2 linked regions of the Drosophila melanogaster genome follow. The protein of the gene in region 2 interacts with the protein of the main gene of each other region in a pairwise test. Each region holds a gene or a part of one and is shown on either strand. Other genes may lie near its edges.

The links.
Region 1: the proteins of mahe (region 2) and Tango6 interact in a two-hybrid assay, tested with the Drosophila melanogaster proteins (one large-scale study listed by BioGRID).

The regions. Positions count from the first base shown.
Region 1 is NT_033779.5:18,962,409-18,973,719, forward strand, and holds Tango6 (transport and golgi organization 6), read left to right. Parts: upstream 1-6,619; 5' UTR 6,620-6,690; coding exon 6,691-6,751; intron 6,752-6,809; coding exon 6,810-9,011; intron 9,012-9,071; coding exon 9,072-9,574; 3' UTR 9,575-9,596; downstream 9,597-11,311. Other genes in the region: Nak (Numb-associated kinase), read right to left, coding at 477-707, 763-1,061, 1,585-2,156, 2,223-2,775, 2,851-2,984, 3,048-3,181, 5,845-6,007; L2HGDH (L-2-hydroxyglutarate dehydrogenase), read right to left, coding at 9,752-10,139, 10,194-11,051. UniProt on the Drosophila melanogaster protein: May be involved in protein secretion and Golgi organization.
Region 2 is NC_004354.4:7,926,625-7,937,935, forward strand, and holds the start of mahe (maheshvara), read right to left. Parts: upstream 4,759-11,311; 5' UTR 4,250-4,758; intron 3,692-4,249; 5' UTR 3,679-3,691; coding exon 2,170-3,678; intron 1,933-2,169; coding exon 604-1,932; 3' UTR 141-603; intron 76-140; 3' UTR 1-75. Other genes in the region: Dhdds (dehydrodolichyl diphosphate synthase subunit), read right to left, coding at 5,425-5,670, 5,913-6,569; RpS14a (ribosomal protein S14a), read left to right, coding at 7,410-7,646, 7,706-7,924; RpS14b (ribosomal protein S14b), read left to right, coding at 8,579-8,815, 8,875-9,093; Ubr3 ubiquitin ligase, read left to right, coding at 10,345-10,987.

The sequences.
Region 1 (11,311 bases), on a different chromosome or scaffold from region 2:
GCTCACTTTGAAGAAAACATATTAATCACCGAATAAACTCATATGACAAAAGATAAGAAGGTTCGTCGAGATATTTTTGGTTGGTTAGTAGGTGCATGGGGTATTTACAAATTGATTGATTGCACTTAAGTAGTATTCGCGGGTCATTCCCCATCTATATGGCACGCTAAATTTTTCGATCGAGCAGCGATCGGCTAGTATACGGTTAATTTATTGCTGGAGCTGATCGAATCTTACGGCGGCTGCCGATGTGGTCTGGAAGCGGCTCCTTGGATGGAGGATATCGAGGAGATCGCCTTGGCGGCACTTTGCTGAGTTGAGCATAGCGTTACTAGGAAGTTTTTAGACTACGTCTACGTCTACGTTCAAATCACTTTCACTTTCTGGATTGAGATTGAGAGCGAACAAAAGCGACAATCGGAAAACTAAACGTATTCTGGCATTGCAAACAGTTAAGGTAGAATTTCATGCTTTACCTCCGGTTTTGCGCAGCGAGCTCGCCTTCTCGCGCAGTCCGGGTGGCAAACTGAATGGCGCCGATCCGAATGGATCCTCGGAGACCTGCGACGGGTAAGGAGACACAGCGGCAGCAATCGGCGGAGGAGGCACTGCACCAGGAGCAGCTGTAACAGGAGCCACAACCGCAGAGGGAATCTGCTCCGTTGGTGTTAGCGTGGAAGTTGTGGATGCCGATTTTGCTGTGATGCCTGAAAGCATTAAAGAAGTTAATATTGCGGCAAAACGCTCTCTTCCAAAACGTACTTCCTTGACTGCCTCTCTGTCGTATCTTGTCGAACTCCGCCTCAAAGATGTGATCCTCAGTCATCTGGCTGAAAGGCTGCTCCTCTTCGAACGGATTCCAGGCTTCAACTCGCTTTTCCACCGCCGTTTGTCCTGGTTTCATTAATTCGCTAATGGATACCGCGGCTGAGTTTGCCGTTGAAGATGCATATATCCCGGGATTCGAGGCAGCACTAGCCAAAGTCTGCTGACCGTCGCCCATGGCAGCCAAGTTATTGTTAAACGGAGCCAGAAACTGACTTGTCTCATTGGCAAAAGTTCTGGAGCGCAACAAAACAAATGAATGATTAGATGATCAGCGAGTGATGGAAGAAAATTAATAATAAGGAAAAAGAGCAAGCAAAGCAGGAAAAGTAAGTACGGGAATGCAAGAGATCTTAAGGCTACAATGAATCTATTGACTCTGTGGCTCATCGGCCTCATCCTGGTCACTTGTAGCTCTTAAGGATCGGGAATTCACAGAAAGAGACAAGCAGAGAGTGAGTAAAAGAGCAAGAGAAGAGCAGAACACAGAACACATACAGATCGTGCAGGACCAACGCATTTGGAAATGTCTAACATCAAGAATATTTAAATATTTATGAAACCATATATCTTAATTTTCAGGCTGAAACCTTTGGGGGAAAGCAATTATATTGATTCTGGCCGAGTAAACTTTAAAAACGATAACAAGACACAACTTTTGTGCTTAAACAGGTAACTAAGATAGGAATTAAAATTTGTAGAATCAAAATGTGTATTCTTGATTTTAGATTAGCTTCTGTTTTCTTGTATGCAACTTACTTATTGAAGGCCGAGGTGTCGCTTACGTTACGCCTATGACCACCTCCTCCGCTTGGCTTGGGCGGTGTCAACATGCTCTTGGTGGGCGTGCCTGCAATGACGTTTAAGTCCTGAGGCACTTCCTCCTTGTTAGGTTCTTCTGCTGCTGGTAGAAATTCAGTAGGAATTACTGCTGCAGCTGGCTCATTGAATGGATCTGGATAGCCACTTGACTCGAAGAGTTTACTGGCAGCAGGAGCTGCCGGAGTAACAGCTTGAGGAGGTGGAGGAACAGCAGGTGGCATAGCTGGGAAGTTGGCCTGGAACTGCTCGACCACAGGTTGAGGTTGGGGTTGTGGAGAAGTGATATTCTGTCTTGGCGAGGGACTGGGAGGCAAACCGAGACCCAATGGATTTCCTCCATGTACCGATGAGGAACCCTTAGGACGAGACCGAGGAGCTACACTGGTTCCCGCCTCCACAACTGACACATTCTGAGCCTTCGCCGCCTTGGAGGCCGCTGCACTGATCCTCTTGGCTTCCGATTCAAACGGAGGCACTACCAGTAGGTCGAAGTTTGGAATGGGAGTTTTCTGATTAAAAATAAGCAAACAGATTATCATACAGGAATCTGAACACAAACATTATGCATCACTCACATGGAGATTCTGAACGGGATTATCCTTGCCCGCCAGTCGAAAGGCCACCTCGCAAACTTGCCAAATGTTTGGTCGCTTCTCCATATCGGGTTCCAACATATATTTAATCAGTTGGTGCATGCCCTTCGAGTACTTTGAGGAGTCTGGAATGGAAAACTGTCCATTCTGGATAGCCAAAGTGCTCTCCCCAAATGGCAAGGAAAAGAAGCACAGCTTATAGAGCATGCAACCCAGTGCCCAGATGTCCGCCTTTGTGGTTATGCTCTTGCCCCCGTACAGGTCGATCATCTCGGGAGCCCGATAAGATAGAGTGGTGTACTTTTGGATCTCTTCCTGCACCACGGTGACTCCGTGCTGTTGAGGATTTAACGTCTTGGCCGTTGCCGATCCGAAGTCGCAGAGTACGAAGTTGCCCGCGTCCGTTTGCAGAATGTTCTCCACCTTAAGATCCCGATGGATAATCGGAGTCTGACAATAGTGCAATCGAGAGACAGCCTCGGCAATATCACAGAAGATGTTGAGCACCTCTGGCTCCGTGAAGCCAACGTGCAATCTGTGGCGAATTTCATTGGATTACATTCGAATTCCGCAATCAAATGGACTACATTTTTAGATTCACTTCGTTTACCTCGCATTCATCATGGCCAGCATGTGATGCTTGCAATAGGGCATCAGGAGTAGCACCTCGCACACCCCGTTTCCCGTGGGCGTGATGCTGGAGTCCACATAACCAATGATGTTTTTGTGCCCACTCAGGTTGCTCTGGGGGAGTGAAAGTGATTGCCCTATTAGATTAGGTTTGTTTGTCCCGATTTATTTACTCACCGCAATCTGTATCTCCCGCTTGGCTACGTTCAGATCGTGCTCATTGTTGACGTACATGCGCTTCAGGGCGTACTTGGTCGCCGAGGAACTGCCTCCGCCGTTGCCCCTTGCCAAAAAGACCATGGCGAAACCACCTGCGTGAGTTTTGAAGAGATGGGGAAGAGAAAAACAGAGCATTAGAGCATGGGGTAAGTTGACGGGCTAGACATCCATAACAGCTGTCAGCTGTAAACAACATAGCATATTTGAATGGGGGAGGAAACTGCGAGTAAGCTAAACCCGATGAATACCCTGTTATTGTATATTCATAATACATATATACGAATATTTTATTTTATATGGCAGGAAGTAGCTAATTAATAAACTAATTTGTTTATTAAAAGGAAATATGTGTCACATTTTTATAGCACACGTATCTTTGGCCATTCCTTCCCACATAATTTATGCCATATATCTACGTGATAATAATGGAATTTCTTTACTATAAACATTTCACGTTCACAAATATCCCCCCGTGGTGTTAAAATAGTAGAGGGTACCCGAATTCGAGTGATAGCAGTTACTGTCTGGCCATGGAACGATTTACACATGTTTTGCCTAACAGGCCATTTGCATGAGGTTTATTTCAGTTTATTGCAAATAGAATTTCAAGTAGAATGCCCCCACATTTCAGCCCTCTCCACCTGTCGCTTTACGCCACTTCAAAATGTACGATAAAAAGGCAACGCAATATAAACTAAACTATTGAAGGTCACGTACAGAAATAACAACAATAACATGCGACAATAACAATACTCAGCGGGGGAAGGCGGTGGGGCGGCAAAATAAAAAGATAGGAACAGTGGTCACTAAGAAAAAAACATAAAAATATATATTAGATATAAAATGAAATGATATTAGAAAAAAAAATGATCTCAATACATTAGATGCATAGACGATGCAACGATTAGGAGAATGTTTTAATATTGAAAATATTTATGGAACATTTGCTGTAAATGCACACACCATTTCTCCCTGTGTAGGCGATAGAGAGAAGTGAATAGCGGACCAGCAAATGTAACCATTTTTGCTCGACTTTGTGAAATTATGGCGTCAAATGTTAATCAATGCTGAAGGTTGCAACAGCAACAAATCAACATTGGCAAAAAGTACAGCAACAACATCCAGTAATAATAGTATGAAAAGCAACAATAACAATGCACAATTGTAGCGATGCGAGAAAACGCGAGAAGGCAATTCGAAACGCAAACGAGGGTAGAAAATACGTCTGAAGGGGCGTCAACTGCAAGGTGGGCAGTAAGCGGTTAAGGGTGGGGGCTGAGGGGTTAAGGCGGGAAAGCTTCATTCGTTAACCGTTTGTCGCTTAGTCATTTGTAATTGTTGTTGGCTGCTCAAAAATCGAATCAAAGAAAGCAGGTAAATATTGAAGGTGATTAAGCACAGTGTTACTTTGGAAGTATCCAGCATATCGAGCAGTTTAAACTTGGCTATACGCGCATTTTATTCATTGAGCATCTGCAAAAGACTCTATTTATTTTTTCTCTTTCTTAAATGAAATACCAATAGTTACGTTACTGGATTAAATGAATTAATAAATAATATATAATTTAGTTTATAATTTGTTATACTAATTCAATAACTTTAACCAAATAACCGTGTTCGTCAAACGCTCCGCCTTTTTAATTACAGGGTATGCCCGACAACAGCTGACTAATTGCCAGCGGCGCCAGCGCAGCGCAAAACAAAATTACGAATCGAGTCCGCTTGCCAAAAGTATAAAAAGTAAAAAACACTACGTAATGGCTAAAGGAAAGGTGGCGAATGGCTGGCCAGGCGGTGGGTGAGCAATCGTTAGATGATCAAATGTTGGGCGGAGGGTACTGGTGCCAGGCCAACAAGGAGGCACTTGCACTGCAGGATGATGTGGAGTGGAGCACTCCGCATTTCAAGGACAAGGACACAGCACAGGCGATTTCCTTAGGGGCGAACTTTGCCATTTAGCTCGGCGAAAGGTGAAAAACGGAAGACTGTCGGAGACAGTCGGCTGATGAGTGTTGGTCTTGCCGCTTCATTGGCTAAATTAACATAATTGATTCAATTGATTTGTGGCCATGTGTAGTGGCTACGGGAATTCAATGGGTATTCCATGGAAAAACCAACCAGAACCGTAACTGTGTTTGTACAGTCGGGTTTCTCTAACGCGGACACCCATTTGTCACAATAGAAATGCTGGCATTTCTGGTTTTGGCAAAAATAAACTCTTTAAAGACTGACATAAATTTGGACGAAATATCTGCACGCCATTAGAGAGCCGAGTTATGGACATAAATATGTAGTTCTATGCCAAGGGCAAAATTGCAGTTCAATTAGTTGGAATTTAGGTTACAAACCAGTATTTAGTATTCATAATTAATGAAATAATTTAAAATGTTTTACAGTTTTATTAAAAGATAATATATCAAAGTCAGATTTTAGCTGTTTTGAGTTTAACATCTTATACAGAAATTATTGGGAGTAATTTATTTGGATTTAATCGGAAATGCGACAAGTGGTGTCCCCAATTATGGAGGATACGCAGCTGATTTTTATGCTCTCTAGCGCTTTGAGTACGCCCCACATTTGGGAGTTCTCGCGCTGAAGGGGTTTATCTAATCTGTGACGAGGGGCGAGACCGAAAAGCGGACGGCAGGCTACTGCCCACCTGTAAATCAGGCAGGTGATAAGCATAATCGCGGGCGACGTGTTGTAGGTAGGGGAATGGGAGCACATATATAAGAGTGTATATATAGTCGTCTACCTTCTGCCAGGACATCCTCCACGGTGACCGTGACGCGTCCCACTGTGAAGACCTTGCCCACGAAGCTGTTCTTCTCGTTCGAGGACGACGAGCTGCTGCTGTTGGGCGGATTCTCCAGTCGAGAGTTCTCATTGCGCTCGAACTTAGACAGGATTTTCTTCATTTTCCCCCGATTTTCACTAGAAAATGTTTACTGCCCCAGCAGCACAACACACACACACACACTCGCGAGCACACACGCACACTAGCTAACACGGTCTTAATTGCCTGCGCGTAGGTGTTTTTGGCAATTTTTAATTTTGCGAGGGCGGCTGACGGTGGGCGGGGCGTCGGTGCCGCTGGCCAATTAATCCACTTTCGAGTCGTATCGGCTAGCTGAATAAAGCTATTCTGCGCACTTTGTGTTTTTGCATGCACACACACAATGCAGTGGAAAAAGAAAGTTGTTCGATTTTCCTGCTGCTCTCGAGTTGTTGGGCCAGTGTGACCAGGGCGCTTTGCTGCAGTCAGATGCGCAACCCGCGGCTGGTGCAGCCGCCTATCGATATATAGATAAGTTGGTTGCAATCTCGAAATTCTGAAAACAAGGAAATCCCCGTTTACAAAATAGGTTTTATGATAACAATTTTTTGTAATTTGATCCAATTTAAAAAGATAATATGGTTCTACTTTCAATAAAACATATAGCTACAGTTGCATTAAACTATCGCGCAGTTTTAATTAGCTATGCTGCCAACATCGTGTTTCCCTTATCAATATGTTATCGATTGTGCTGGTGCAATTGTAAACAAGCATCTCTAGCAAATGGTCGCTAAATTCGCAAAATTGTAGTTTGCTGGGATAACAATGATAAATACGGCCAAGTACTTTGCTCTTCTAGAGAGTTTAAGGTTTAGTAAAGCTCTAGGTAAATTGGTTAACATCATATAATAATTGTAGTATCCCTAATACTAATATTTCGACAGCAAATACGGCGAATAACTCAGGGACTGCCGAAGCCTTGGAAATCAACCTGCGAATTTTGGAAAAATATGCTAAACTCGAGATTGGTCAGCAATTGCATGAGCTGTGCCTGGAATATCAGTTAACAGACGATCACGAATCTAGTATTGATCCCGATTCGGATCGTACTATATGCTATATAATAAGATTGCAACATGTGCTACATTCGATCATGAGGAACATTAATTTCCACAGCGACGCCAAGGAGGATCTTATTTCGGTAGCGCACCTGAAATTGTGTATCCAGGCTTCCCAAGAATTATCATATTACTCGCTTCGATGCCAGCTACATGAGGATTTCTACAAGTCGCCCATCTTTTGTGAGGCTCAGGGGAAAATCAAAGCTAACTTTTCATTGATGCTTCTAAGCATTCAGTTCTTTATTAATCTACTGCATATTCGACAATACCACATAGCCAACTCGATGGAGCTGGTGCAAAGGGATCTACTGGCGGCCATTGTGAGTCTACGTGTGCAGCAAGACTCTCCACTGCTGGATAAGGCTATAGCCTACCTCTGGCAATATGAATCCAAAGCAGATTTCTTTCGCAACATCTTGCTTTTTAAAGCTACGACTCTCTGCCCAACTCTGGCCCAATTATTGCACCGTCAACTCTTAGGAAAGCTTCACTTACCCCAAGGATTTGCTAGTCTTGTTGAGGCCCTGCATCAAAATCCCAATGTGAATTCTTCCAGAAATGCGGAAATTGTGGCTAGTATTGTGGCCAGAAAAGGATTTTCTCAGTTAGCGCAAGAGAAGATGGTTCTCCAGGTGCTAGAATATTGTAAGTTCTATCTGCAGAATGCGGACAAAATGTGCGCCGGTGTCCTATCGCTCAGAAGACTTTACGATTTAAGTGATACAAATCAAAAGCTGATAAAAGAAATATTATTCAAACACTGGGAAACGCTTTGTAACCCAGAAGACATTATTAATGGCCTTATCTTAATGGATCACCAGGAACTGTGCAATCGCATTCTCTTATGGCAGCATCTCTTTTGTTCTTCAACCGTAGCTTGCTTACCCAGTAATCTACTCGTTCCCTACCTTCCTTTGCTGCTCCAACTCTACGATGGCCTTCCAATGGAATTACCGGCGTCATCGCAGATTTCTGCCATTATTTTGCGTTGTCTGGACAACAGAGAAATGAAAAACGAATTACCTGCGATACTCCAGAAGCTGTTTAAATGGGAAATTGAGAAGGAACCTCCTTGGAAGTGTTTAAACCCACGCATTATAATCCTGCCTTCCATGAACACAACTCAAATTCAGGTTAAAGTAGCTCACAAAGATCATCTAGCAGATCACGATATGGGCAGAATATTGCCCGGTCTACTCACATCAAGCTCTCATCATTCCCTCACCTGCAAAGTTTTCCTCTCTCTTCTGGGCTTCATAGCTAAACAGATAAATGATAAATCTTCAGCCAGCGTAGATTTTATTTCATCAGAAGCAGAGCTCAAAGACTTTCTGCACTCCAAATATCAACTGAAGCTAGATTTGCTCATTGCTTTAAACCAAATGGTAGCCCACCAACCATTAAGAGCTCAGCTATCACAACATACCAAGGAGCTTCTACATATACTAAAAGACTTGCTTGTCCACCGATCTAGAGAGCAAGATACCACGGATCAGATCCTACTTCTCGTTCTAAACCTCTTGCAGGAAATTCTTGAGGGCAGTGAGAATATTCAACTTTCAGAGGCCTGTAAGGAACTGAAAGAACAATTGCACCTGTTGGGTACTCGATCTTCCAACCCTCTTATCCAGCAATCTGTAAAATCATTGCTTACAATAATTCACGGCGCATGGCGACCAAGTGAGGCTGTTAAAATACAACCTTTTCAAAGAGCTCGGTCCTTGATAGAGGAAAAACAATCCCACATGCAAGTGTATGGAATTCAGATGATGATTGATTTGCTGAAAAAAAGAGATCCTGCTACCTTAGCGCAGGGTCAACTTATCATAGCGTTAGCCCTGACCACTCTCAAGGATAAGGAATCCTACACCTTCTTAAATTGTGTTCGGCTCTTTGTGTCGCTTGTTCATGTGATGGAGTCCGATGTGCTGGACAAATTGAGTGATGAGTACCTATCAGAGACGGCTCACTTAGACTACCGCCTCGTAGTGGGTGAAGCTATTCTGAAAGTCGCTCAGGAGTTGGGTAAGCAATGTTCTACACAGCTAAGAATAACTCCTAAACTTTCATACTAATCCCATCCAGGTCCTCTTTGCTTTCGATACAAGGCTGTTCTTCTCAACTGCTTCATGTACGGCTCCCGGTCTCCTGTTCACGAATTCCGGATGTCAGCCTTTGCCAATCTTGCCCAGCTTTGTCGCCTTTTGGCCTTTCAAGTGCAGAACTTCTTCCACGAGTTACTCCAACTTGTTAATAGCGAATTAACCACCGGAGGATATGTTCCCTCTAAGCGTGCAGCAGTCCTGGTCTTAGCTGAACTATTAAACGGCATGGAGAACCTTCTGGATTACCAGGAAATGTTACTCCCCATTTATCGCCTTTTAAAAGCGATTGAAGCGGATGAATCCTGTGATCCTCAAATGCGTCAGCATGCTGCAAACGGTCTGAAAATTTTAAACAAAAAGTGCACAAAACTGATACAATCTGCCTTGGAGGAGAAATCATTACAGAAGCAGATTAAGGTGTTGGGCATTAAGGACGATGATTCACCTCAAAGAAGAAACCGACATATACTGGAACTGAATTAAAGGCTATCTTAGAAACCTACACAAGTTTTAATTTTGTTTTATACACAATAGATCAATATTACAGTTTCGAAAAGAAATGCGATAGTGGCGAATCAGTACAGACATTACTGACATAAAGGCAGAACAGAAAATAGGACTTAGTTTTGGACTTTGGTTACATTATTTGGGATAGAGGCATCACTTGCCGATAGAGAACTCATTCTCGATCTTGTCTGCGATCATCTTGGCAATGGCCAAGCTACTAGTAGCGCCCGGCGATGGGGCGTTTCTGCAGTGAAGCACTCGCTTGGCTAGCGCTCCCGATCCTTGTCCGCGATCGAAAACAAAATCGTCCACCAGATTGCCATCCAGATCCATTGCTTGGGCACGTACTCCAGCGGGACCACGCTGGATATCGTACTCCGTAATATCCGGGATGTACTTCTGCAACGCCTTGATCTGCAGGTTAATGAACCACGATTTGGACATCTCGCTGAGTCCGAAACCGATGTACTTGCTCGCCATCTTTACGAAGCCCGGATAGCGCAGGGCGTCGAAAAGCTCGAAAAGATTAATGTCACCCCAGCTGGAAGAAGTGAAGTGTCAGACAAGTTTAAATATGAGCTCTAAGAAGACTTACGTGTAACCTTCGCGTTTCAGAGCCAGAACGGCATTTGGTCCCAGCCAGATAGATCCGTCCATTCGCGGCGTAAAGTGAACTCCCAGGAAGGGGAAACGTGGATCCGGCACCGGATAAATATTACCCTTGACCATATGCTGTTTTTCCTTGGTCAGCAGCAGATACTCTCCACGGAAAGGCACGATGCGGGGGTCTCTGGGGCATCCAGTCTTCTCAGCCAGCAGGTCGGATTGCAAACCGCCACAGGTTAATACGTTCTTGGTACGAACCGTTTGACCGGGCTTAGCGCCATGGATGGTCACTGGGTAGTCGGTGCCCTCCTTGGTCTCGGTAAACTTGCTGACATTGAAGTCCAGGTAGATATCACCACCGCACTGTTTGAAATCCTGACCATAATGCTCGGTAACCAATCCCCAGTCAACGATACCAGTGTGCGGACTGTGGAGCGCCATCACTCCCTGGCAGTAGGGTTCGATCTCCTGAATCTCGCTGCCTTCGATCATTCGCAGATCCGGTACGTTGTTGGCAATGCCACGCTTCTCCAAATCCTTCAGCAGCTTCACTTCTTTCTCATCCGTGGCCACAATTAGCTTCCCGGTTTTCTTGTACGGGATCTTTTTTTCATCCAGATAAGCGTAGGCCAAATGCATGCCCTCCACGCAAAGGCGGGCTTTCAGGGTTCCAGGCTTATAGTAGATGCCAGCATGGATGACGCCGGAGTTGTGGCCGCTCTGGTGCTTTGCCAGCTTGCACTCCTTCTCCAGGACAGCCACTTTGAGGGATGGATGGCGCAGGACAATCTCCCGGGCAGATGCGGCGCCGACGATGCCACCACCAACGACAACCAGATCATAATCTCTGAGGGAATACAAAACATATCAGCTAACAGCCTCAAAAATTAAATAAACTTAAGACTTCTAAAGTTTTTAAAAGTTAGAAAGATGTTTGTATATCCGTTAGAGTAAAGAGTGTGCGGGCACGTTTTTGATTAGGATCATCAGTCAAGTCGATCTAGCCATATCAATATGTTCATCGACTGTCAGACCGCAAGAACGTCGAGATCTTGGGAACTAATAAGTAAGATAAAGGCTGCAGATTGCAGTGAAAAGACTATGCTA
Region 2 (11,311 bases):
TTCTTGAGTTTTGATTCGGTTTACCTTGTGTTTGGAAAACATAAAAGGGTTTCGAAGGCGATGTTCGTGCGTTGGCTGTTGTAGGGCGAAAAGATCCATTAACTACTAGTTACTTTGTATGTAAATTAACACAAACTTACCCCTTGTTATTGATGGTTAACGGCAGTTTGTCCAGAGAACATTAACGAATTTAAGGTTAGTTGTCAATATCGCAAACAAAAAATTGCGAATGCTTAAATAAGCGAAAGAGAACACAAATGTTCTACTAATATTAGTAGTGAGGTGTGAATAAATATAGAAACAAAAAGGCAACGATTTTGGTCAAAAGTTAAAGAGCTGCTATGCTCTGTTATGTTGGCAAAATTATATCCATTCGTTCATTTATCATCATATGCATTTGGATTTTATATGTGTTATGTGGATAACTGTTGATTCATTTGTCCATGTCGTTGGTGTTGTTATAGTTGTTTGAGTTGTTGTTGCTTGCAATGTGGTTGATTTTATTAAAGCTGCTGCTGCTGTTCTTGTTGTTTTTGTTGTTGTAGCTTTCCACGATCCACTTCCATTTCGTCCCATGAGCGCGTTAGCGTATTGTTGTCCCGCCTACTCGATGGCCTGGCCGGGTGCTGGTCCGGGTCCTGCCACGGCTTGGGCGAACTGGTGATGTTGGGCGGCATAGTAGGTGGCCGGCATGCTGAACTGGTTGGCATATGGATTGGTGCCCGGCGCAGCGGCGGTAGTGAGAACACCGGCCGCATCGTACATATAGGCGGCACCGGGAGCCGGAGCCACAGCTGCAGCTGCAGCTCGTCCGGCGGCTGCTGCAGCGGCAGCAGCTACGGCCGCAATCGTTGGCGAATTGGCTGGCGTGTATTGGACCAGCGAGCTGGTCACCGCAGCCGACGGAACATACTTGTTGCTTTCGTCCTTGGGCGGCTTGGTCTGTTGGCCAGCCTGCTGCTGTTGTTGCTGATGCTGCAAAGCCTGCTGACCGTAGTGGGTTACTCCTTGTTGCTGGTACTCCCGCTTGGGATACTGCTGGAATCGTGGCGGCATGCCACCGGCACCAGCTCCCTGCGGCACAAACTGGCTACGTCCGCGGTATGCTTGTGGCATATACTGTCCGCCCTGCTGGGGTGCCATGAGCTGCTGTGGGCCACCGCCTACGCCGGCTGCTCCACCAGCTCCGACGCCGCCACCCTGATGGCCCATAATGGCGCGTGGTCCGCCATTGTTGAACGGAGCCCTCGGGCGATAGGTGTTGCCGTTTCGCTGCTGTTGTCCGGCTCCTCCATCCTGTCCCATCTGGTTCATGCGATTCCAATTAACGCCACCACCAGCACCATTCTGCAGATAGGTATTGCCGCCAGCGGCATACTGCTGGTAGCTACTGCCAGTTGGGGGGCCGCTGCGATTGTTGTTATAGTTGTTACCGGCCTGGTAATTCAGCGGATTGTTGTTGCGCTGCTGATAGATGCCGTTGTTACCGCCAGTGTTGCGATCCCCGCCGCTGTTGTTGTTCCAGCGCTTGTTGCCGCGATAGCCGCCCGAGCTGGGCATCGAACGAGCAAGATCCAAAAGAGCCTGCGACGGCGTCTGGCCAGCCTCCTCGAGCACAGAGATCAGTTCACGGGCCTGCTTGGCATTGTCAGGCGTGAAAAATGTGTAGGCAGTTCCCAGCTGCTGGCAGCGACCAGTGCGCCCGATACGGTGCACGTAGTTCTCCGAGGAGTTCGGGTAATCATAGTTAATTACGTACTGCAGATCCTCGACATCGAGGCCGCGCGAAGCCACATCGGTGGCAATCAGAATGTTGGACTTGCCGTTACGGAAATCCTTTAGCACTGAATCACGCTCATTCTGGGTCTTGTCGCCGTGAATTGAGGTGGCGTTGTAACCCTCGGCTCGAATGATCTGCAAGATGTCCTCCACCTGGATAAGGGCAAGAAAACGGTTGATAATTAGTGGGGTGCTTCTAATTAATATCACATAAACAATATATTCTTGACGGGTCATTTCGGATTTTTGCAAGTAAAATGCAACTATAAAAAACAAAGAATATGTTGATAAACCTTCGAAGTAAAACGAAAAGAGAACAAATACAATTTAAAATGGTAAATCGAAAGAATATTTCGAATTCTTTAAGCCATTTATCGAATTAGAACTCACCTTGATCTTGGTCTCCACAAAGACGATAATTTTGTTCCCATTGTTTCCCGAATTCTTGATGGGAGAAATCTCATTGAGCAAGCATACTAAGCGCTGCGGCTTCTCTATTTCTGTACAGATCTCGACAATCTGGCGAATGTTGTGGTTAGCCGATAGGTTCATCGAACCAATGTTGATTTGGATATAATCGTTTAAAAAGTCTCCGGCTAGGGCCTGCACCTCCTTTGGCCAGGTTGCGGACCACATGACCACCTGACGGTCGGGACGAATCTGTTCAATGATCTTACGGATCTGCGGCTCGAAACCCATGTCCAGCATGCGGTCGGCTTCGTCCAGCACCAGATAAGTGCATCTCTGCAAGTTAGTGTTGCGATTCTCAAGGAAATCAATCAGACGTCCTGGTGTGGCGATGATCACCTCGACGCCGCGGTCAAGATCGCGTGCCTGCGGCACCTTCGATGAGCCGCCAAAGATGCAAGTGTGACGAATCTCTGGCTTGCACAGATGTCCATAGTCTCGCACGACAGATTGGATCTGCTGGGCCAGCTCCCGGGTGGGGGCCAACACTAGAGCAATGGGTCCTTCGCCGCGAATTATTGGCGGCTGATTGCCAATGTGCACGATGGCAGGCAGCATGTATGCCAGCGTCTTGCCTGAACCGGTCTGGGCAATGCCCACCAAATCGCGGCCACTTAAGGCAATGGGCCAACCCTGCGATTGGATAGCAGTGGGCTTGGTGAATCCCTGGCGCTTCATCTCTTCAATGACGTGAGCGGGCAGCGAGCTCTCCTCGAAACTGACCACCGGGTGTGGTAGTTCATTGCCAGACACGGTGATTTCCAGTTCGCGCCGGATCTCGGCCACCTGCTGCTCTGATTTGGCCAGTGTATTCGGATGAATGTTGTAGAAATCTTTGAGGAAGGGCTCGAGGTTCTCCCACTTGGGTTTCACTAAATTTCGGCCGGGATTTTTGGCCTTTTCACGTTGGATCTCGGCGCGCTCCTCTTTGGAAAGCATGCCTAAGGCGGCAGCATTGTAGTTATTGCTTTGGTAGCCACCAGCAACTCCGGCGCCGTTGTTCGGCTTCTGATAACGCTGTGCGTAGGTTGGATTTTTGCCACGCTGTCCTCCATATCCGCCAGATCCTCCGGATCCGCCACCGGCGCCTCCTCCAAGTCCATTACCGGCGAATGCAACACCGTTTTGCTGGCGATACGGATTGCCGCCACCAGAACCGGCGGCTCCCATTCCCAGACCATTCTGGATGCCATAGGTCATCACGCCATAGGGCTGACCAAAGTGCATGCTTCCAGCCGCAGTGGCTGCTCCATTGATGCCAGCTCCCCCGGCGGCACCGCCGAAATTGCCGCGCGGATAGTATTGACGCTCGTGGCGTGGGGCCCCGTTGCCGCTACCGCCAGCGCCTGCTGCGGCACCATTGCCATAGTAACCGCCGCCAGTGTGCTGCTGAACGCCCCCAGCGTTGGGTGCATATGCTCCAGCGAACATCGTGTGCTGAATCCTGTCGAGAAATGAACAAAAGTTCAGCGAAATCGCATGGAGATACCTCGCACACACCACCACAAAGACTTTGCACTTTTGTAACTGTCAAGAGCCTCTCTCTCTCTCTCAGAGTAAAAATAAAAAGAGAAACGAAACGCGTTTGACTTTTTGGGCAGGGGCTTTATGGCATGAGGGAGGGGGTCGGACGAAGTGGGGGACTTAGTTTCGAATGGTGAAGAGCGGGGCAGTTCTTTAACCCACCCACTAGCCACCACCGAAAAAAATCAATACAGCATCGCCAAATGCACACGAGACGCAAAGAGGTAAAATAATAGCGGGAGAGCTAAACCAGGCGCGAGAGAGACAAGTAGAGTGCGCCGCAAAGGGAAAGAAGAGCGAGCATGCTCTCATTTAGTTAGAAAAACACTTTTAAAAAGTGCACCGCGTTTTCACGCCACACACACACAAGTAGAGTGCGCCGCATAGGTAAAGAAGCGCGAGCACGCTCTCATTTAGTTAGAAAAACACTTTTAAAAAGTGCACCGCTTTTTCACGCCACACACACACACGCACTCACCTTTTTTCTGTTGCGACAACTGCTGCCTATGTGTGAAAATTTGGATGAGCCTTGTGCGGGGAGCTTTAAATTAATGTAATTTATGCGCCGCAATTTGACATTTGCCCCTCAGGCAACCGGAATTTTGTGTCTTGAATGTGGGTTTTTCTTCGGTTGTCAAAGTCTGCGATTTTTCGATCCGTTTCCTTCACGTTCTCTTTCGAGGCCCTGTTCCGTTCGATTCGATATTCTTCACTCTCTCGCTCGGCTCTCTTCGTCACGCTCACAGGCGTCTTCTTCTCGCGAACTTCTCTTTTTGCTTCGCACAACTTTTGTCGAGAGCTAATGGTTTTGCAATTATTCCTTCGCCACGGGAAAGTAACCGTAATGCTAACTAAAGGTGTACTTGGTTAAACACTAGGAGCCAGTTCGCTAAATCTAATTCTTGTATTTTAGATTTTTATAACAAAAAAAAACGCGCTCAGCAGAAAGTTGCATGTGAACTGTAAAGCTGGAACAAAAGTCAATGGTGATGGGATACGTTCGATGTATTTTGGCATCGATAGTTACCTGCAAAACTATCGATAAATATTGTTTAACCATTATTGCACTTAATTTACCGCTAAAATTTAAAACCAACAAATACTAAAATTAAAAAACATTTAGCGAGTTACCAAAATAAATTGATATATAAAAAATACAAGAATGATATCTAGATAAAAATAAATTAAGCACGTAAAAAAAGTTTTGTGATACCAATTCTTAAAAGGCTACACATATGTACATATATATAAAATATACAAATATAAGTGGGTGTTATATTGCAATTTACATAAATTTGGAATTATTCCTTTCCCCCCTCCACATTTAAACAAATTGTTGCTTTTTTTTTAATTCTTTAATTTACTTATCAAATGGAAGGCAAACACTTTTTACGACCGAAAGTGAAAACAATCTAGCTAAGCCCACAATTCGGCTACAAATTAATTGAATGTCTTAAACAAGTGCATTTAGGTGATGAAATCTCCAACGGCACATATATTGAAAGGCGGATAGCCTTATTGCATAGGCCGGAAAACAGTAGCATCTGTACGTACAGGTATACGCTATTTACACGATTTTATTCCCCACTGATATCACAAACATCATCATCATGTGGAAATCGAAGGGACTTCAGGCGGGACTTCAGAAGGGACTTAGTTGGCGGCCAGTCGCACAAGCAGCTTCCGCCGATCCTCATCGATGGTGGTCAGGAAATTCTGGACGCGTTCGCTGTAGAAGTCAGTCGCCTTGGCCAGCTGGCAGCTCTGCATCCTCTCCGCTCGCCGAAAGTCGTCCAGCTGCCAGCGATCACGCTGGTAGGCCAGAATGCTGGCCAGGAAATGCCAGAAAGTGATCTGCGGCCACAGGACGTTGCTGAAGTACAACACGGATGTGCTTAACTGAAATGGTAAAAACAGTCGTTTAATATTTAAGCTTTTCCACTTTATCAAAGACCGCAAAACTGTCAAGATCTCAATTTTTAAATGCATTTTATAAAAATGATGCAATCGCAGAGCGAAATTCAACGAATGAACATTGGGCACAGGTAACTACTTAATCACTAATCAAACTAAATAAGTGGGAAATCTGCCAAAGGGGGTGACTAAAAACAACTGTTCCTGGAAGAGATCCTTCTACACACCTGCCACATCATGAAGTCGCTTAGCCTAGTCTCGCCGGAGGTGCGGAACACCAGATCCGGTGGCGGCGAGTGTCGCGTGTAGAGGCATTCTTCCAGCAACCGCTCACTGATGTCCTCGCCCGCCAAATCCTGGCTGCCATGCCGCAGTATCGTTTCCACCGCCTGCGTAATCTCATCCCGCGACGTGTACGCAAAGGCGACGTTCAGGAAGAGCTTGTCATTGCGCTCCGTGCTAAGCATAGCCGAAGCCACTAGTTTCTGCAAGTCGTGTGGCAGTAGCTCGATGTTACCAATCACCCGAATGCGGATGCCATGTTCGTCCAGTCGAGCAGTCTCCTCCAGCAGGCGGGCAAACTTCTCTCTGGCCAAATTGAACAGACCCTCCACCTCCTCGTTGGAACGCTTGAAGTTCTCGATGCTGAAGGCAAAGGTGGTCACCTCGCGGACGCCAACGTCCAGGCACCAGCGCAGGCAGTCCGCAAGCTTCTCGAATCCCCGCGAATGACCCTCGATCTTATCAATCTGCTGTGAGCGGGCGAACCTCCGATTACCGTCCATCACGAAGGCGACGTGGTGCGGAATGTAGCCACAGGCGCGCAGCGTTCGCATCGCTATCCGCTCCGTCCATGTGTACTTGTAGTCGGAGACCCACGACATGGTCTTTGAATTCAGCTGGATTAAGATTGGATGTCAGTCAATTAAATAAATAAATATTTATTTATTTTTTTGCGGTGTCTTGTGATTAGACCGCTGCCAATCGACTATTACGCTATCGATACTTAGAACCTTTTATATAGAACGCAGTGTGACCATATGCGATATTTCGGTATTTAGCATAGACTCCAACCGACACGATGAAAATGTGGCCGTTGTGAGATATAAATGTAATACCATTAAGCAGATACACGAACCAACATCGATAGAAGAGTAGCCCAGACATCAACCGTCTACGAAAATAAGCGCAGAAACTGCAGTTATTCGGTTTTTTTTGGAAGTCTTTCCTCTGGCGTGGCTTTTAATTATAATATAAGTCTATCTGAAACTAATAAATGTTTCATAAAAGTGCTAAACCAATTAAAAGACGCACAAAAAAGAATGCATTTTTAAATCCACCTGGGGTTTGAAGCCCCGACACACTCCCTATCGATAAGCTATCGCCAAACATCGCAAAACTCAGCAACCCTGTCATTTTGACAGCTACGTCAACCTTCTTTTTTGATATCCGGTTAACGCAAGTGGTTCGTCTTTAATTTTTCCCTCTTAATTTTTGCGAAAAAAAACCCGACTTTGAGCCCCTAAACTTAAAAAATGTGCCTTCCTCCAGAGTGTTCAGAGCGTCGACTGAAAATGACAAACAAGCTGCCCGGCAGCTAATTTTTTTTTACATTTTTTGTTTTGTTTGTTCGCACGCATTTGTTTTTATTTGTGAAACACGTGGTATAAATGTGGAAATTCCCTTGCTATTCCCGCAGTTGCTGATCGACAAACAAACCCAGAATGGCACCCAGGAAGGCTAAAGTTCAGAAGGAGGAGGTTCAGGTCCAGCTGGGACCCCAAGTTCGCGACGGCGAGATCGTGTTCGGAGTGGCTCACATCTACGCCAGCTTCAACGACACCTTCGTCCATGTCACTGATCTGTCCGGCCGTGAGACCATCGCTCGTGTCACCGGAGGCATGAAGGTGAAGGCCGATCGTGATGAGGCTTCGCCCTACGCCGCTATGTTGGCCGCTCAGGTGAGTTGTGCGCTCTCCGGTCCAGTTGGAGCCCGTCTAACGGTTTCAATTCCCTCCAGGATGTGGCTGAGAAGTGCAAGACACTGGGCATTACTGCCCTGCATATTAAGCTGCGTGCCACCGGCGGCAACAAGACCAAGACCCCCGGACCCGGCGCCCAGTCCGCTCTGCGTGCTTTGGCCCGTTCGTCCATGAAGATTGGCCGCATCGAGGATGTGACGCCCATCCCATCGGACTCCACCCGCAGGAAGGGCGGTCGCCGTGGTCGTCGTCTGTAGATGGCAGTATCTGGAAAGCAGTAGTCTATGTTTGCGGTCGAAATACAATACTGCATTTGTGTATGCGATAAGAAAGCTTTTCTGTTCGTGTGCATAGGTGCACTGTAATAAACCAGGAAAATACGATGTAAATGACTACAAGACATTTTTGTGTGTGCATTGGGTTCGGTTTGGGGTCTGCAAGTGCTGCAATATTTGATTTATAAGGACATTGGCGAAATGTTTACAAAAATTGCACATTACAAGCCGAAGAGTTGCCACCCTGGCGTGCCCAACGCGGTGGTAGCCCGATTGCGCCATCAAAGTAACTATGCGTCGATAACTATCGCATTACCAGCTGTGTTGTTTTTGCCTTCTTTTTTTCGCATCCGGCGCACGCAATTGGTTGGTTTTCTGCTATTTCTCCCTTTTTTTGTTCAATTTTACTGCAATTGACTTATTTGGCGGCAAAAGCGAAAAGTTGCTGCTAAATATGATTCAGTGATTTAGCATAAAATGAAAAATTTTGCGGACGCCGTGAAAGTGGTGGCGAATTAATTTGTTTCTCCCCCATTTTTTTTTGTGTTGTTTTTTTTTTTGTAGTGATTTGAGCCGGCAAATAAACATGGTGTTTTTTTCTCTTTTAGTTGCTGATCGACGACCAGACTCTGCAGAATGGCTCCAAGAAAGGCTAAAGTTCAGAAGGAGGAGGTTCAGGTCCAGCTGGGACCCCAAGTTCGCGACGGCGAGATCGTGTTCGGAGTGGCTCACATCTACGCCAGCTTCAACGACACCTTCGTCCATGTCACGGATCTGTCCGGCCGTGAGACCATCGCTCGTGTCACCGGAGGCATGAAGGTGAAGGCCGATCGTGATGAGGCTTCGCCCTACGCCGCTATGTTGGCCGCTCAGGTGAGTTGTGCGCTCTCCGGTCCAGTTGGAGCCCGTCTAACGGTTTCAATTCCCTCCAGGATGTGGCTGAGAAGTGCAAGACACTGGGCATCACTGCCCTGCATATTAAGCTGCGTGCCACCGGCGGCAACAAGACCAAGACCCCCGGACCCGGCGCCCAGTCCGCTCTGCGTGCGTTGGCCCGTTCGTCCATGAAGATTGGCCGCATCGAGGATGTGACCCCTATCCCATCGGACTCTACCCGCAGGAAGGGCGGTCGCCGAGGTCGTCGTCTGTAGAAATGGATCGTGCCACCCGCTTTTGACGCTGCTTTATATTCTTATACTATTAAATACATGCATAAATGCAGTGGCAAGGGCATGTTTTTTGGGCTCATGTGTTTCATTGTGGCCAGTGGCAACGCGTCGTTAGGTGGTGCTATCGATAGGTGATGGTTGGGACCACCAATGGTATGTGCAGGTGTAGAGCGGTCACACTGGATGAAATTCAAGACCTATCGATATCCTGATATACACGCCAACGAAGACCGTGTGTGGATTCGTGGAGCAAATCGAAGTTGGCAGGATTAAAGGCATTCGCGAACGCAGAGGCAGCAGCTAAAGGGCCACCCATGCACCAAAGAAACAAACTAGCTGGCCCAGCGGTTCATTTATCTGCGACTAACAAGCTAAAATCGGCGTAATTGGCAAGTTCAATGCACGACTAATATATTTGGCCACACTTGCCAGTGTATGTTTGTTCGTGTGCGTGCCTGTTTGTGTGGTGTCGTCTCCGTACGTGTTTGTGTGTGTGTCCGCGACGAGTATGTGTGCGCACATATTCGTATATCTGCAAGACTCGCGGATGAAACAGCGTGAAAAGTGAGCAAAATATCGGGGAAAAACGGCACGGTACGGCCACAGAACGGAACGGTACGGTGCGATACGATATCGAGAAAAGGCCATCAGCCAGAGTACTCCTCGATCCGGAAACGGATAATGGGGATATAGATGATACAGCCAATAGCTCCCCGAAAGCCACAGCACACAATAGGTCGGTCGGTCGGTCGGTTGGTTGGGCGACGTCGCCGAGAGTTAAACATCAAAAATCAAACCCAGGAACCGACGGAGCTAAGTGTCAAGTGTTTGGTGTTGTGAAATTTTTCGTTTCCAGCTCTCCGTTCAGCGTTCAGCCAATTTGCCAACCTTTTCCCCTCTTTAATTTGTTATCCCCGGACACCACAAGAGTTTCGATCAAAATTTTCAATTGAACGCAACATCGCCATAAACAAAAACATAAAGGTAAAATTCGGCCACTACCCAAACAACAAAAAAATAAAATCATAAGAAAAAATCACGCAGTAACGTAGAAGAAGCAGCAGCCGAAGCCGAAAAAAGACGAAAAGAAAACTTGTTTGAAAAGGCCGAACCGAAAGAAGAAAAAGAGCAGCAGCAGCAGCACAGCGGCCAAGTTTGGAAGAATTTCAGAATTTCAGCGTGCTAGGAACGGAGCAGCGGACCGGCGACGTCACCAAATAAACGCCCATCACCATGGACGAGGATGACAACCTGTCCAATGCCGACATAAGCATAGATGACGAGGAGGTGGTGCGGGAGCAGACCCACCATCCGCCCATGCAAGAGGATCAGGAGCTGGATAACGAAGATGGGTCATCCGACGTGGATCTGTCTTCGGTGTACGTCGTGCCACCCATAGTCTCGGCACCATCGCCCGCATCAGTGCGCATCGCTGGTGGATCCACAATTGGTGGCGGAGGGGTCGCAGCTGGAGCAGTTCCAACAACCACCGATAACTCGCATTCCCCCTTCCACGATTGGGATTCCAGTGTGGCGGCCGCTGCTGCTCCACCGCCGCCACCGCCCAGGACAGGACCAACTACAACTACAAGCTCCGGCACAGCCGCGGAATCGGGAGCCGCGTCCGCCTTATCCGACGATGCCGGCGCCAAGCCAAGTTTCTTCTTTGGCGCCTCCTCGTTCAGTTTGCGCAGCCGCAAGGAGGTGGCCGCCCTGATCAACACGGAATGCTGCCGTGGCAGCCCCACACCCGATCTCGACTCCATAATGGATACCCTATTCAATCCGGGGACGCCCATCGACAATCTGGACAACATCGAGTGGATACGATGGCTCATTGCCGGCGGACGGACGCCGCAGGAGTTTGTTAAAATTGGTACGTCCCAATGTGTGCATATCGATAAGTGTGTTGCATTTTCTATCGCCAAACAGCTGATCGCAAGTCCGTTGCCCCTGAAACTCTGACCGAGCATGTGTGTGTTACCTGCGTTATGTGTGTGTGTGTCTGTGAAATGTAATGGTTGTAGGGCACGCAAAGAAAAGGTAGAGAGGAAGAGAGCATAAAAGCAAGGTGCAAGGCAGCGTGAAGAGTGCGAGTGCACCACCATGGCAACAGCAATCAAGCGCACTCTCTCGCACACACAGCACACTCACTACACACACATATGCACTGATTAGGGGAGTCAACTTTAGCCCAATT